Arabidopsis thaliana: one gene and its partners. The protein of the gene in region 1 interacts with the protein of each later gene in a pairwise test. Each region holds a gene or a part of one and is shown in the gene's direction. Other genes may lie near its edges.

Region 1 (2,835 bases):
GCCCTGCCTAAGTTCATCTAGATTAGGACCTTCACCGGTTGGCACACGCAATTCACTGAAGAACGCTTTGTAGTCAGCTTCAGGCTCAAACTTTTCTGTAGGCAGATCATCTATATTTAAACCAGTGATATGATGAAATTCGTTCAATCCAAACCGGATGGGTTTACCAGCCACGATACACCAAAGCTCCTTCTTCAGTATTCTCAGCTGTCTGCATAGTAGATAATGTACGGTCTTACCAGACCAGAGAAAATGACTATCAACAAGCTTAGCAATTAATCCAAGCTCTGTCTCTTTCAGTTCTGCCCATATTTCTTCTCCTATTGATTCTCTAATTGCAGGGAACTCTCCCAGCTTTATATTATGATTAATGCCTTTACCCTCCAGATTAGAATCCCCCTCTTGGTAAAGTCTTGGAGGGTACTCCCTTGCTTGGTCTTCAGACATCTGTATAACCATAAATCAGCCGTAAGCATTCCATAACTCAGTCATAACATAAAACAAACTCATCCACAGATACCATAACTCAGGCAAAACATAAATCTAACTCAGCCATAGATAACATAACTCAGTCATAACATAAACCTATCTCAGCCATAGATAACATAACTCAGTCATAACATAAACCTATCTCAGCCACACATAACATAACTCAGCCATAAGATAAATCTAACTCAGCCATATTTTAACAGAAACTCAGTCAAACCATAACATAACAACAGCTCAGTTAAAACATAAACCAGACTCAGCTATATCAAAACAGAAACTCAGCCATAACATAAACAAACTCAGCCGTCATATAACAGAAACTCAGACATCGATGTAAGGTTAAACCATAACTCAGTCACAGCATAAAAAAAACTCAGACACGGATGAATTGATAAATCATAAATCAGTCGGCAAACAAACAGTAACTCAGCCGTCAAATCAAATAGATCTAAGAAATCGGCCACCATATGTCAATCAACGTCGACGTTAAAACCCAGCTTTAAAAACCATCGTTACGCATCGGAAAACGATTTCAGTGACGGGAATCACTTGAGATTGAACTTAGATGTCAGAGTCTTACTTCATTGAAAGATACTCACCGGAACTTAGATGTCGAATGTGACTTCGCGCTTACGTAAATGCGACTCCGGCGTCTGAATTTCGGCCGGAACAGACGAGAAAAGAGCAAAACGGCGAAAGAAATCGATTTCGTTCCGTCGAGAGAGAAAGTGGAAGAAAGCGACAGTTTTTTTTTTTTTTGGGAGATGATGAACAGTAAAGCTAAGAAATAAGAAACCCAAACGTTATGGAGTTTGGAGATAATTAATGACGTGGATTATGGTAATGACATGGAATAATGACATGTATAATCACTGTTTTTTCATTTAATTTTTAGTTAAAAACGAATTAAATAATAATAATTAATTAAAACTAATTAGGGGTGTTAATTGTAATTACACAATAACTGAAAACATCTGAGTAATAAAAAAAAGATGTGTTCTACTGTAGGAATAAACATACAAATGTGTTCTATCTTAGGAATTAGTTCAAATTAAATTGTCTTTTCCCAAAGCCGTCCTTTAAACCCGACGAAGTTGTTTAAGCAGCTTAAATTAAGCTCCTTGAAAGATTAAGCATTTCTGGAATTTTTATCGACTTTAATTAGAGAAAAATAAAATATTTTTTGATATTCCTTGTAAAAATCTGAAGAATAAAGTTTACTCCACTTATTACCGACACAAAAAAAGTTGTTCCACTTATTAAAAAAAAGTTATTCAGTTATAATTTTTTTAAAAAAATCCTCTGTTATATATCTCTCACTATCTTTTATTTGGTTCTTTCCAGAAACAATTGATCAGAGCTTTAAAGAAAAAGATGGAATTCACCGCAGAGCAGCTAAGCCAATACAACGGCACCGACGAATCAAAGCCGATCTACGTCGCAATCAAAGGCCGTGTGTTCGATGTCACCACCGGAAAATCCTTCTACGGCTCCGGAGGCGATTACTCGATGTTCGCCGGAAAAGACGCGAGCAGAGCTTTGGGTAAGATGAGTAAGAACGAAGAAGATGTGTCTCCTTCTCTTGAAGGTCTCACTGAGAAAGAGATCAATACTCTTAATGATTGGGAGACCAAATTTGAAGCTAAGTATCCTGTCGTTGGCCGTGTTGTCTCTTAGGTCTCTCTTCTGAGATTGCACTATGTTATGTAACTATTGTGTGTGAGGATCTTTGTGTTGTGTGTTTTCTGATTTCGTGTTTGGATCTGATCGTTTTGATACAATTACCATAAGTACCAAATTATCTATGAAATAAATCGGGGATTTCGTGTTCTCAGTGGTCTTCATATTCTGATCTTAAGGTTACTTTGTTGTGCTTACCAAAAAAAAAAGGTTACTTTGTTGTGATGATTAGGATTTTAGGAGTTTTAAGTCTCATATGTATTTGATGAGAGGATATAAAGATTGGTTTGTGTCTTTCATATCTTGCAAATACTTGGAGCTAATTGTGTCTGGTGAAAGAAAAACTGATGGTTTCTGAAATCTGAGCAACACCAAACTTACTGGTAGTTTTGGATTCGGTGTAAATTATCTTACAAGTTCCAAGTTGTTGTTAATTTTAGTCTTTTGCGTTATGAGATTTGGAAGAATATAGTTATGATGAACATTCAGAATTCATAGAAGCTAATGTGTGTCTTCTTTGATTCTTTCTTACTTCTCCCGGTCTAAATTATTATCATCACTTGTATGACTTCGGCCCTGTTCGGCATGGCGTTCTTGCGACTAATATGTTGCTTTAACGCCAAGTCTTAGGTTTGAGGGAGAGCTGTTCATGGGTAGAGTTGTTCT
Region 2 (3,089 bases), 430 kb from region 1:
TTGATGGAGAAAGATAACCAGATTCAATTTGTTACCTGAGCACCAATCAACAGATTTTCAGGTTTTATATCTCTGTGAATTACATGCTTTCCATGGCAATAGATGAGGGCTCTAGCCAATGACGCAACATACTGCCACAATAAACGTAAGGGTATGACTACACAGATTCACATTAACATGCTAGAATAAGTTCAATTATCACTAGGACTTACAGTTGCTGCTCGACGTTCGCTGAAGTACTTGCACTTCTGAAGCTCTTTATAAAGCTCACCCCTTACAGCATACTCCAAAATCAAATAAACTCTTTTCTGCAACAACGGTATCCCAAAAACTATGTTAACCTCACAGAGCCAAACATTGTATGTCAACAAGAAGTTCTTTTACAAGCACAGATAACACAAAACCTGATCATAGAAGTAACCGTAGAGCCGCAGAATATTGGGATGCCGAAGATGAGATTGAATCTCTACTTCCCTTCGTAACTGGTGTTCAACTTGAGATTGTTGAAGCTGAGCCTTAAAAAGAACCTTTAAAGCCACAATGTGATCGCTCTGTTTGCAAAGACACATAGAAGACAGCTTGGTTAAAAAAGACATCAAATTAATTCTGCTTGTTTAACATAATTGTGAAGAAACACTAACCCGTTTCTCTCTTGCTAGATAAACATGGCCAAACTTTCCTCTACCAAGTGGCTTTCCGATATCGAAATCGCTTGTAGTCCATCTCTTTTGTGCAGCCTCTGAAGCCGCCTGATACAACATTATCACAAAGATTGAAATCCAATCAACTCTCAGATACACTTAATCATAAACGACAAACAATCATTGATACTTTAAAACTTGAAGATAAAAGGATAAAATCAACAGCTCCTTAACACTAATCCACGGATTTGTCAATTAATCTAGGGTCCTCGCTGTAAACGAATAAATCCACAATCATATCATGAAATTTCTCAAAATCATACCAACAAGTCTTTCTCAAATTAAACAGAGAACATTGAAACAAGATTCTTTCTGGCGCAAAGAAAATCAAGCAACCAAATCGATAATCCCAGATCACATTCCATTAGAACAGACCAAACGCAGAGAAAAAACGCAAACCAACAAGGAAGTAAAACCCTAAATTGAAACAAATTCGACAAAAGAACCAAATGAAATTGGAATTTGTGAAACCAAGAACAAGTTATTTTCTTACAATTTGCTGCGTCTCTGTAGAAATCCCCATGGAAGAGATCGTTGATGAGCCAAGATAGCGAGAGAAAGAGAAGAAAGAAAGAGAGAAGAGAGAGTAATTTTCACAAAGGGAACAGATCCAAATTGAGAAATTTAAAAAGGGGAAAAAACGTAAACCACCAGCAAAGCAGCAACGGTCGAATCCAGATGCTGCCACGTGTTGATACATCTGCATCGAGGTTTTTATTTTCAAATAATTTGTCTCCCGAGATGATACAGTCGCTACAGGCCCAGATATTATTAAGCCCACGGTATTCCAACTTCATAATCACTAGGATAATATACAGTCACTACAAGCCCAGATAATAGCCCAATAAGCTTCAAGATCGTTTGACGATGAGATTTTAATTCGGAACTAAGTAACCACGTGTCAGTACCTCGTCAAAGTAGCTCCATGCAGAACTGACACGCCCGCGTGACACTCTTCTCCATTGCCTAACACGCCTCGTCGTTCGACACATGTCTCGTTTAAGTTTAGCCTCTCCTTCATACTAGTCTATTTTCATTCTTCATAATAATCACAAATGGTAAGCTTATTAAAGCTACAAAAACAACATAGAACATTAAATCCATACTCTCTTAGAAAAAGAAAAAAAGAAATGGCGGATCATCAACAACATCAGCAACAACAACAACCAATAATGAGGAGTCTCCATGAATCATCACCATCGACTCGGCAGATAGTGAGATTCGTAACGGCAGCTACGATCGGCCTATCACTCCTCGTGCTCTCAGGACTAACACTAACCGGAACGGTGATCGGTTTGATCGTAGCGACGCCGTTGATGGTTCTGTTCAGCCCGGTGTTGGTACCGGCAGTGATAACGATAGGGCTTTTGACGATGGGATTCCTATTCTCCGGTGGTTGTGGGGTGGCAGCAGCTACGGCGTTAACGTGGATTTATAAGTACGTTACCGGAAAACACCCGATGGGAGCGGATAAGGTGGATTACGCGAGGATGAGGATAGCGGAGAAAGCCAAAGAGTTGGGACATTATACGCACTCGCAGCCACAACAAACACACCAAACCACAACAACTACTCATTAGAGTTTAATAATTATATGGATCTATATGTTGTATTAAGTTTTATGATTATCCTACGTATGTTTTTTTAATACTGTTCTTACCTTTTTGAAAAGATCTATCTAAAATTTTATTTTCTATTTTCCATACAATTTTTTGTGTGTTTAATTGCTGATCGGTATTTTCTGTTTTATGATTGTGAAATAGCTAGTGTAAGGAAAGATGATAACGAATTAAGTAAATTAATAAATGCCAATTACTTGGTCACCGTCTGGCTTCTAGAATTATATGGTGGCTTTCTTGGTATATGTAAATGTAGTTTTGAGTGTGGTCCGTTTGATTTGAAATAATATTGTTGTTTTTATGTTCAAAAAGAAAATTGCAAGGTTTGTGAATTTTGTGTATCAATACCAAGGCTTGAACCACTTTATCTATACTCGCTAAATAAATTTCGAAGGCTGCGCTAAATGGCTCGTGTCATTTACGTTGTCTTCATGAACGTATTGTAGTTAGTGTGATTGTAAAAATATTTCTTTGTTTAATCATTCCTCAAAAATTGTATTCGGCCTTTGAGAGATGCGGTGAGGTCGTATGCATGTTTTCCCAAATTTCGAATACTTGCAAACTGTTCTATGAATGTGGTTTTTAGGTACTCATGAAATAATTGAAAACTTTACTTGTCTATATGTTCGTAAACCATTGGCATTGAATTGCATGGCATGGCTTACTATGCGCGCACCAACAAAATGCACATGCATGCTTCACGAACGTATAAAGAAGCTGAGGGTGGACAACATTCACTGCTTGTAGTGGGCAATGCAGTCTTGTAGAG
Region 3 (4,156 bases), on another chromosome or scaffold:
CATTCATACAAGATCTCACAAGCATTGCCTACCTCATAACGGTCCATTGTGACATACATTCGACCTCCACCAGATGCAACCTGAGCATCAACACCTTTCGCACGTAAAGCAGCTAGGTCAGCTTCAAGAGTTTCAACAAATCCGACACTAGAACCATCCAAAACATCACGACCATCAGTAAGAATATGGACGCGGATTCTCTTAGCACCACGTTCTGCAAAACCCTTAAGCAGCAACTGCACCAAACAGAACCAAATTAAAGAAAATTAACAAACGCCAACGTTTCAAAAGAAATGTGTAACAGATGAGAATTAAGTACCTGGACTTGATCCAAACGAGAGTGAACTCCACCATCGCTTAGAAGACCAATAAGGTGCACAGTGCCTTTCTCAAAAGATTGAGAGATGTATTTGAAACCTTCATCTTCATAGATTTTCCCTGAAGCAAGGGCGAGATCAACAAGCTTAGCACCTTGAGCGTAAATTCGACCAGCTCCAAGAGCATTGTGGCCAACTTCACTGTTTCCCATGTCGTCTTCGCTGGGGAGACCAACGGCGGTACCATGAGCTTTGATCAACCTCCATGTGTCGGGCTTCCCCTGTGAAGAATAAAATCGAACCGTTGAAGTCCATAATCGGAATCCAGCGAAATCATCGAGGAAAGAAGTGGATATAAACAAAAAAGGAAACATACGTCTTTAAGGGAATCCATGGCAGGAGTTGGAGCTTTATGGATGCAATTGTATTGATCGGGATCAGATTCACCCCATCCATCGAGAACAATCAAACCGATAGTTTTGCCTTTGGGAAGCTTGGGGTGGTCCGCAAGTTTCCAGTTAACGTCGCCGGAGCTACCCATAACTGTGGATTCAGATCCACTCGTCGGTGAGAAATTAAAGGTTTAAGGAACAGATCTGAGAAGCGAGAGAGAGAGAGATAACGGAAGCTTACCAGCGGAGAAACAGAGGAAAGCTTCTCAAAGAGTCTTATGGAGATTCGCAGAGACAGAAGTGGTTATGTGGTGAAGTATGGTAGGTTGAGAGCTATCACTGACATAATATGAGACTTTTATAGAAACATAGAAATGGAAAAGTTAGCGATGACGTGGTACCAATTTAATGGGCTTTACTTTGGGCTCAAGTAAACATTGTGAAGCCCCCAAAAAAATGGAAGGAGACGAATGTTCTAGTTTTAGCTGCTATGAACGAATGTTCTGGATCATGCCGTTTGTAATAGTCATGGTGTGCGCCATGTAAAAAAAATTGTATATACCTTTTTATTTTGGTCAACGTAAAAAATAGCATACAGAAAAGGTCAAACCGGAGTTAACTTAATAGTTTATACGGTATTTGAACCAGAATTTGATCAAAAATGGGTAAGTTTTAGTAACTGGGATTACATTAATTTCTGTTGACAGTAACTTTTTTTTATCTAAATCATTATTTAAACCTTGAGATTGCATTAAATCAAACTGAAATTACACGAAAACCAAACCGAAAACTCATGTAAGAAATTCAGGGTTGTGCACATTTATTTATTCAATATCATCATAATATTAACTGGGAACCTTCAAAAGGTTGGTAGAAGGCTAAAAAACAATTTCTAATGGGCCAAAGACAAAAAGTTGAGTTCCTATATATTGGGCTTAAAAAGCCTGAAACTAGATGAGACGTGGTTCATAGTCAGATAAATGGGCCAAGGATAAGGAAAGACAAAAACAAAAGTAGAAAAGAATCATACAGTATACATATATGGGAAATATACAGAGAGAGATACAGATAACACAATAAGAGGTAGACGGACAACTGTTACGGCGAAATTGAATGCCGCAATGTATCAATATGATTGGTCGAAAAGGAAAGTAAAAAAAACAAACAAAATATTAAATTTTTGTTAATGTGTAAAGGGAGAAAAAATCAGATGAACAGGCTGTATCATTTTTTTTTTTGTGAACAAATGGGACTGACGACAACACTCTTCTTCTCCTTTTTGTCCTTTTGGCTCTCTCCTTCTCTCCTTTCTCTCTCTCTCTCTTTTCCACCGGCGACCATTCATTCTCTCTCCTCCTCCTCCTCCTCCTCCTCCTCAGCTTCCTCCATTGCTCCTTAACCCTCATTCCTCGATTTGTTCTTCTCTTCACCATTTCCCCTTTTTACCCTTTTTCTACTCAGACGTGACGGCGACTTTTTATTCCTGTGTCTCCCACCTTTGACTCGCCCTGGGGGGATTTTTTTTTGCTCCAGAGGCGAAAGAAACAAAAAAAAGCAATGGGGTTTCTCCGTTGTCTCCAGCTGCTGCTGCTTCTGTTTCTATCTCTTCGTCTACAAAAGCTCTCTGCTCAATCTTCTTCACCCAATGCTTCTTCTTCTTCTTCACTCGATGCTCTTCTTCAAGATTACTCTTTTAGAGCCTTGCTTCGTCCTCGTACCGGCATTCTCTACGAGGCTACTACTGTTCCTTCCAATTTGACTGGGATCAAACTCGCTGCTATGAGACTCAGAAGCGGAAGCTTTAGAAAACGTGGAGTCACTCCTTTTAATGAGTTCTCAATTCCCAGCGGCGTTATCGTCAAGCCGTATGTGACAAGGCTTGTTTTGGTTTATCAAAACCTAGCTAATTTCTCTCACTTGTATTACCCTTTGTCTGGTTATGATTATGTCGCTCCTGTCTTGGGTCTTCTCGCTTACGATGCTAAGAATCTCTCTGCGCTTAATTTGCCTCAGCTTGATTTAAGGGTGTCTAATGATCCTATCAGAATCGATTTCTCTGATCTGGAACGAATCCCGCAAGGGTCTAGTGCTAAGTGTGTTAGATTCGATTCTAAAGGTGAAGCGAGTTTCAGCGATTCGATTCAGCCTGGAAACACATGCGAGACTGAGCATCAGGGACATTTCTCTGTGGTGGTGAAATCTGTGGCTTCTGCTCCGAGTCTAGCTCCTCCTGGGATTGAGAGTAAGAAGAAGAAGAAGAGCTCTGATTCCAATTCCAAGACTTGGATCATTGTTGGGTCGGTGGTTGGTGGATTGATACTGTTGGGGCTTTTACTGTTTCTGGTTTTGAGATGTCGAAATTACAAGAAGCAAGAGAAAATGAGGGAGATGGAGAGAGCTGGAGAGACAGGGGAAGCTCTGAGGATGACTCAGGTTGGTGAAACAAGAGCACCAACTGCTACTACGACTCGTACACAACCAATGCTTGAAACCGAATACGCAGCTTAGGATACTTTTGTGTACATCATCATCATCATCACATCTTCTTGATCATCTGTTACTGTCTTTTTCTTTTTTTCTTCTACAATTATTCTTCTTTTGGTAAAGTGTTTCTTTTTCTGATTATTTTTTCTTTGTGGTAAGCAAGTTGATACTTCCACATTCATCTTGTTTCTCTGCTGGTGATAAGGAAATAAGTAATATTGTTTTCTTCTTGTGCTCTCAAATTAACAAACTTTGGTGGTCTCTCCATGAGAATGAAAAGAGTTGGATTGTTTCTGGAGTGCACTCACTTTGTTTTCTTCTAACTACTTTTGCTGTAAAGCTTTGCCCTTTTTGTAATAATTTCAACATCTTTTTGTCTGAGAAGCAGACAGTTGAAGAAGATGTATATCATCCTATCATCCATACTCAACTTTGTTACATTGAGCTTAGCATTCTTCAAAAGGAACTAGTGTGTTCTTGAGATTTGTTGAGTTTTAACATTTTTTGCAGCTATCTGCTTCATGCAACTTGTTGACCCTCACATTTATATTAGAAGATCACCGATGAACCAATAGATTTTGGAACCAAAGAGGTTAGAATCCGGTAGGATATGTAGAAGATGATTTGCACTTGGCAATGTTACAACGTTTATGTTTACATCTAGGATTGTCTTGTTTGCTTACCTTATATGAAAAGTCATCTCGTTCATATGGATTTTTTGCATTCTACATTTTAGAAAAGCACCGTTTGCCACTTCAGGTATGTAACAATGTGCACAGCTACAAATCTTTGCACTGAACAGATTTGGAATAAAGTTTGAGTTAAAGTGAATACATGACTTGGTTAATCCTGGCTTGGGCCATCTTGTGGCCTCTTGCTCATATCAAGTAAAATGCCATGACAACAACGTTAATGGCTAAGTTAGCATTGCAGCATCTCCTCTGACTTCTGCAGATACCAGGA
Region 4 (4,255 bases), on another chromosome or scaffold:
TTTCTAACTTCATATACGAGAATATTCAGATGATTGACGTTGGAAAACCGATCAACATTGATCAGAAGTATTGCCCTCACCCACCTTGTGAACATGAAAAAAAGGTTAACATTATATGCATGAACAAGCTTGGTTATTTTTTTCTTCAATTACAATGAAATATAAAACAAAAGACAACTTGTGTTTCCTTGTTCAGGGTAAGTCTCACGTTCAGATCCAAGACATTAAGTTAAAAAACATATATGGAACGTCGAATAACATAGTGGCAGTGAATCTACAATGTAGCAAGAGCTTTCCGTGCAAGAATGTTGAACTAATTGATATTAACCTAAAGCATACTGGACTCGAGAAAGGTCATTCCACAGCGATGTGCGAGAATGTTGACGGTTCTGTACGTGGTAAGAATGGTTCCTCAACATTGTCTAGATTGACTCAATGGTCCATCGAAAAAATAACCTTTTGGGTTATACATGATATTTTTAGTTACATATTATTGCCTAATTTTTGTATATATTTTATGTTTTATGTTCTTGTTTATATGATATCATGATCACACATACAAATTCTTAATGAATAGTTCATTCTACAACAAAACAAATCTAAGAAAGAACGGTTAAATGTTTAACTTCCAATAATTTTACCATCATACTTAGTAACAATTACACTTTACTAGAATCAAACTAATAAGGAAAATCTCAATAAATATCTTTTAAGGTTTGTTCGGTTTATTGTAACTTTTATTAAATAATTTTAATTTAAATGTTTATATAATTCTAATAAACAATTGAAAAACTATTATCTTTTTCTTCTCATACTTACTTATAAAAATATGTTTAATTAAAAACTATTTATAAGTGTTTTTAATTTAAATGTGCTATTAGAAAATTTCCCTATATTTAAATTATTTATTGATGTCATAAGTTTTTGTGAATTAAAAATCAAAGCTCGAGCCTCCTCCATTACCCAAAATATTGGCAAATAGCATGACACAATAATGTATATCATGTGTTTAGGCAACGCAAAGTTCACAAAATGCCGTCGTACATCGCAAGGAGAATTTTACACCGGAAGGGCAACGACTTCCATCACCTACTTACTAAATCGCCAAGAAGGACCTTGACTGACAGATCAGAGAGACATCGAGATTGCCGAAAAAGATGAAGAAGAAGAATATAATTAAGAAACATTTTGATTGTTCACATAGAAACAATTTGAAATTTTTATTATCACCTTTGTATTTTCTTGTACTTTTCGTTTAGAGACCGCAATTTGTTTTTTATGATATTAAGAAAGTGAAAATTTTCATTAATTATTTAATCTAGTAAGTAATTATATATTCATTTTACTAGCATGTTGTGATTTATGAATAAAAAACATCAAGTAGAGTAATGGAGATATGCAATTTTAGGCATGCAAATGCGTGTAGCAATTTAATCGTTATATCTTATGAAAATTTTGAATAAATACAAGTTTACAAAATAATGTAAATACTAAAGTTTAGTATCCATCAAAATAAAAATAAAATCCACAAAGAAATCATTTCGAAAACATTTTGGTTTTATGCAATTTAAATTAAAACCCATTAAAAAAAGAAACAAATTATAGGTAATCTTATTGGCACATTTCCCAAAATTAAGATTCTGTTTTAATGAAGAGATTAAAAACTAAACAATATACACTCAAAAAATCATCATAACAGTATATTAACCAATCACGATCATTATAAAGAAGCCGCCCATATTTAGTAGTTAACTGATAACAATAATCAAGTGCTTTTAACAGTCTGTTGAGACATGTTAACTCTATATAAATAGATAAAATGTGCGAACACTTCTCATTGTGTCTTACACTATAAGAACAACTATTATTAAACAGCACCTTTTTGTTATATCTCCATATACCCAAACAAAAGAATAAGATGGTCTCCATCGCTTCTACGTTTAAAGCTTTGTGTTTGTCTTTCTTGTTCATTGCTGTTGCAAGTCGTCCGACTATCAGACCAAAGGTTTTCAACGTCCGACGCTATGGTTCTAGACCAGACGGAAAAACTGATAATGCCAATGTATGTACACAATAACTTTTCTAATCAATGTTAATAGTTATTTATTTAGTTTTGTTGATTCCCAATTTATATTGGCTTCCAAATACATTGAAATAAGCTCAACTCAATATCAAAATACATTTAAATAATCTAATAATATATGTTGAAAAAACATTTTGATATGATAGTATATATAAATCTTCTTGACTTTCTACATAACAATATATGGATTGGTATTATATTAACCAATTAAATTTAACTAAATCTTTTATCAACTTCTATGGATTTTTTTGTTTAATAATTAACCTATCTTATTCTTAACATATACAAAATTAGGCATTCACAAGTGTATGGAAACGTGCATGCACAAGGATAAGTGGAAGTAGTAAAATCTACGTACCGAAAGGAACATTCTATCTCGGTGGTGTAGAGTTTGTGGGTCCATGCAAAAATCCTATTGAATTTGTCATCGATGGAACTTTATTGGCTCCTGCAAACCCTAGGGACATTAAGCAGGACACATGGATCAACTTCCGGTACATCAACAATCTCTCTATCTCCGGTTCCGGTACACTTGACGGCCAAGGAAAATACTCTTGGCCACTCAATGACTGCCACAAAAACACTAATTGTCCTAAACTAGCTATGGTACCGTTTCTTCTTAAGCTTTTCTTTTTATAATATATTTCTTGTTTGAGAAAATATGATTATATATTGTTTACATTGAAACTGTATTATACAATGGTAACAAGTATATTTTGATCATTTATTTTTTAACCATATATATTTATTATATACAAATGAATTGAAGTATCTACTCTTTGTTTCTAGTGATATGATAAAATTTGAAATGTTTACAGACTATGGGATTTGCATTCGTGAACAACTCAAGAATCAAAGACATAACATCACTCAACAGCAAAATGGGACACTTTAACTTCTTCTCTGTCCATCGCTTCAACATTACCGGCGTCACTATAACAGCTCCCGGTGATAGCCCAAATACTGACGGTATCAAAATGGGTTCTTGTAGCAACATTCACATCTCAAACACAAACATCGGTACCGGAGATGATTGTATTGCCATTCTCTCTGGGACCACTAACCTTGATATCTCTAACATCAAGTGTGGTCCTGGACATGGGATCAGTGTTGGAAGCTTAGGGAAGAACAAAGACGAGAAAGACGTAAAGCACTTAACGGTAAGAGACACAGTTTTCAACGGCACAAGCGATGGTATTCGGATCAAGACTTGGGAATCTTCGGCTTCAAAAATCGTAGTTTCTAACTTCATATACGAGAATATTCAGATGATTGACGTTGGAAAACCGATCAACATTGATCAGAAGTATTGCCCTCACCCACCTTGTGAACATGAAAAAAAGGTTAACATTATATGCATGAACAAGCTTGGTTATTTTTTTCTTCAATCACAATGAAATATAAAACAAAAGACAACTTGTGTTTCCTTGTTCAGGGTGAGTCTCACGTTCAGATCCAAGACATTAAGTTAAAAAACATATATGGAACGTCGAATAACATAGTGGCAGTGAATCTACAATGTAGCAAGAGCTTTCCGTGCAAGAATGTTGAACTAATTGATATTAACCTAAAGCATACTGGACTCGAGAAAGGTCATTCCACAGCGATGTGCGAGAATGTTGACGGTTCTGTACGTAGTAAGATGGTTCCTCAACATTGTCTAGATTGACTCAATGGTCCATCGAAAAAATAACCTTTTGAGTTATACATGATATTTTTAGTTACATATTATTGCCTAATTTTTGTATATATTTTATGTTTTATGTTCTTGTTTATATGATATCATGATCACACATACAAATTCTTAATGAATAGTTCTTTCTACAACAAAACAAATCTACGACAGAACGGTTAAATTTTTAACTTCTGAATCCATTAGCTAACTAACAAACTAAATCAAGCTATCCCTAGACAATAGATTCAAAACCAGATCAATCCACTTTCATGACAATGATCCTCATAACTTTATCACTTCCTAATCTCAACTTTCATTGATGAAACATAATAAAGCAGGCTTTAAACACCAATCTATTAAAATCAATAAGCAGTCTAAACATCCAATGTCTTGGGCTAGAGTCTACAAATCTCTGAAATTAGTTGGTTCAGACATTTCATCAAACACTTATTAGGTGGAGAAAGTCTGAAATCAATTTTCAATTGATCAGAAAGAAA

The links.
Region 2: the proteins of MAPR2 (region 1) and AT2G25890 interact in a protein complementation assay, tested with the Arabidopsis thaliana proteins (one large-scale study listed by BioGRID).
Region 3: the proteins of MAPR2 (region 1) and AT3G08600 interact in a protein complementation assay, tested with the Arabidopsis thaliana proteins (one large-scale study listed by BioGRID).
Region 4: the proteins of MAPR2 (region 1) and AT1G43080 interact in a protein complementation assay, tested with the Arabidopsis thaliana proteins (one large-scale study listed by BioGRID).

What each region holds. Positions count from the first base shown.
Region 1 is NC_003071.7:10,607,584-10,610,418, forward strand, and holds MAPR2 (membrane-associated progesterone binding protein 2), read left to right. Parts: upstream 1-1,833; 5' UTR 1,834-1,863; coding exon 1,864-2,166; 3' UTR 2,167-2,317; downstream 2,318-2,835.
Region 2 is NC_003071.7:11,035,604-11,038,692, forward strand, and holds AT2G25890 (Oleosin family protein), read left to right. Parts: upstream 1-1,699; 5' UTR 1,700-1,756; coding exon 1,757-2,281; 3' UTR 2,282-2,576; downstream 2,577-3,089. Other genes in the region: AUR2 (ataurora2), read right to left, coding at 36-131, 213-308, 405-551, 642-749, 1,195-1,407.
Region 3 is NC_003074.8:2,610,380-2,614,535, forward strand, and holds AT3G08600 (transmembrane protein, putative (DUF1191)), read left to right. Parts: upstream 1-1,795; 5' UTR 1,796-2,266; coding exon 2,267-3,217; 3' UTR 3,218-3,639; downstream 3,640-4,156. Other genes in the region: iPGAM2 (Phosphoglycerate mutase, 2,3-bisphosphoglycerate-independent), read right to left, coding at 33-236, 320-598, 694-858.
Region 4 is NC_003070.9:16,213,492-16,217,746, reverse strand, and holds AT1G43080 (Pectin lyase-like superfamily protein), read left to right. Parts: upstream 1-1,918; coding exon 1,919-2,062; intron 2,063-2,377; coding exon 2,378-2,689; intron 2,690-2,901; coding exon 2,902-3,426; intron 3,427-3,518; coding exon 3,519-3,752; downstream 3,753-4,255. Other genes in the region: AT1G43090 (Pectin lyase-like superfamily protein), read left to right, coding at 1-104, 197-550.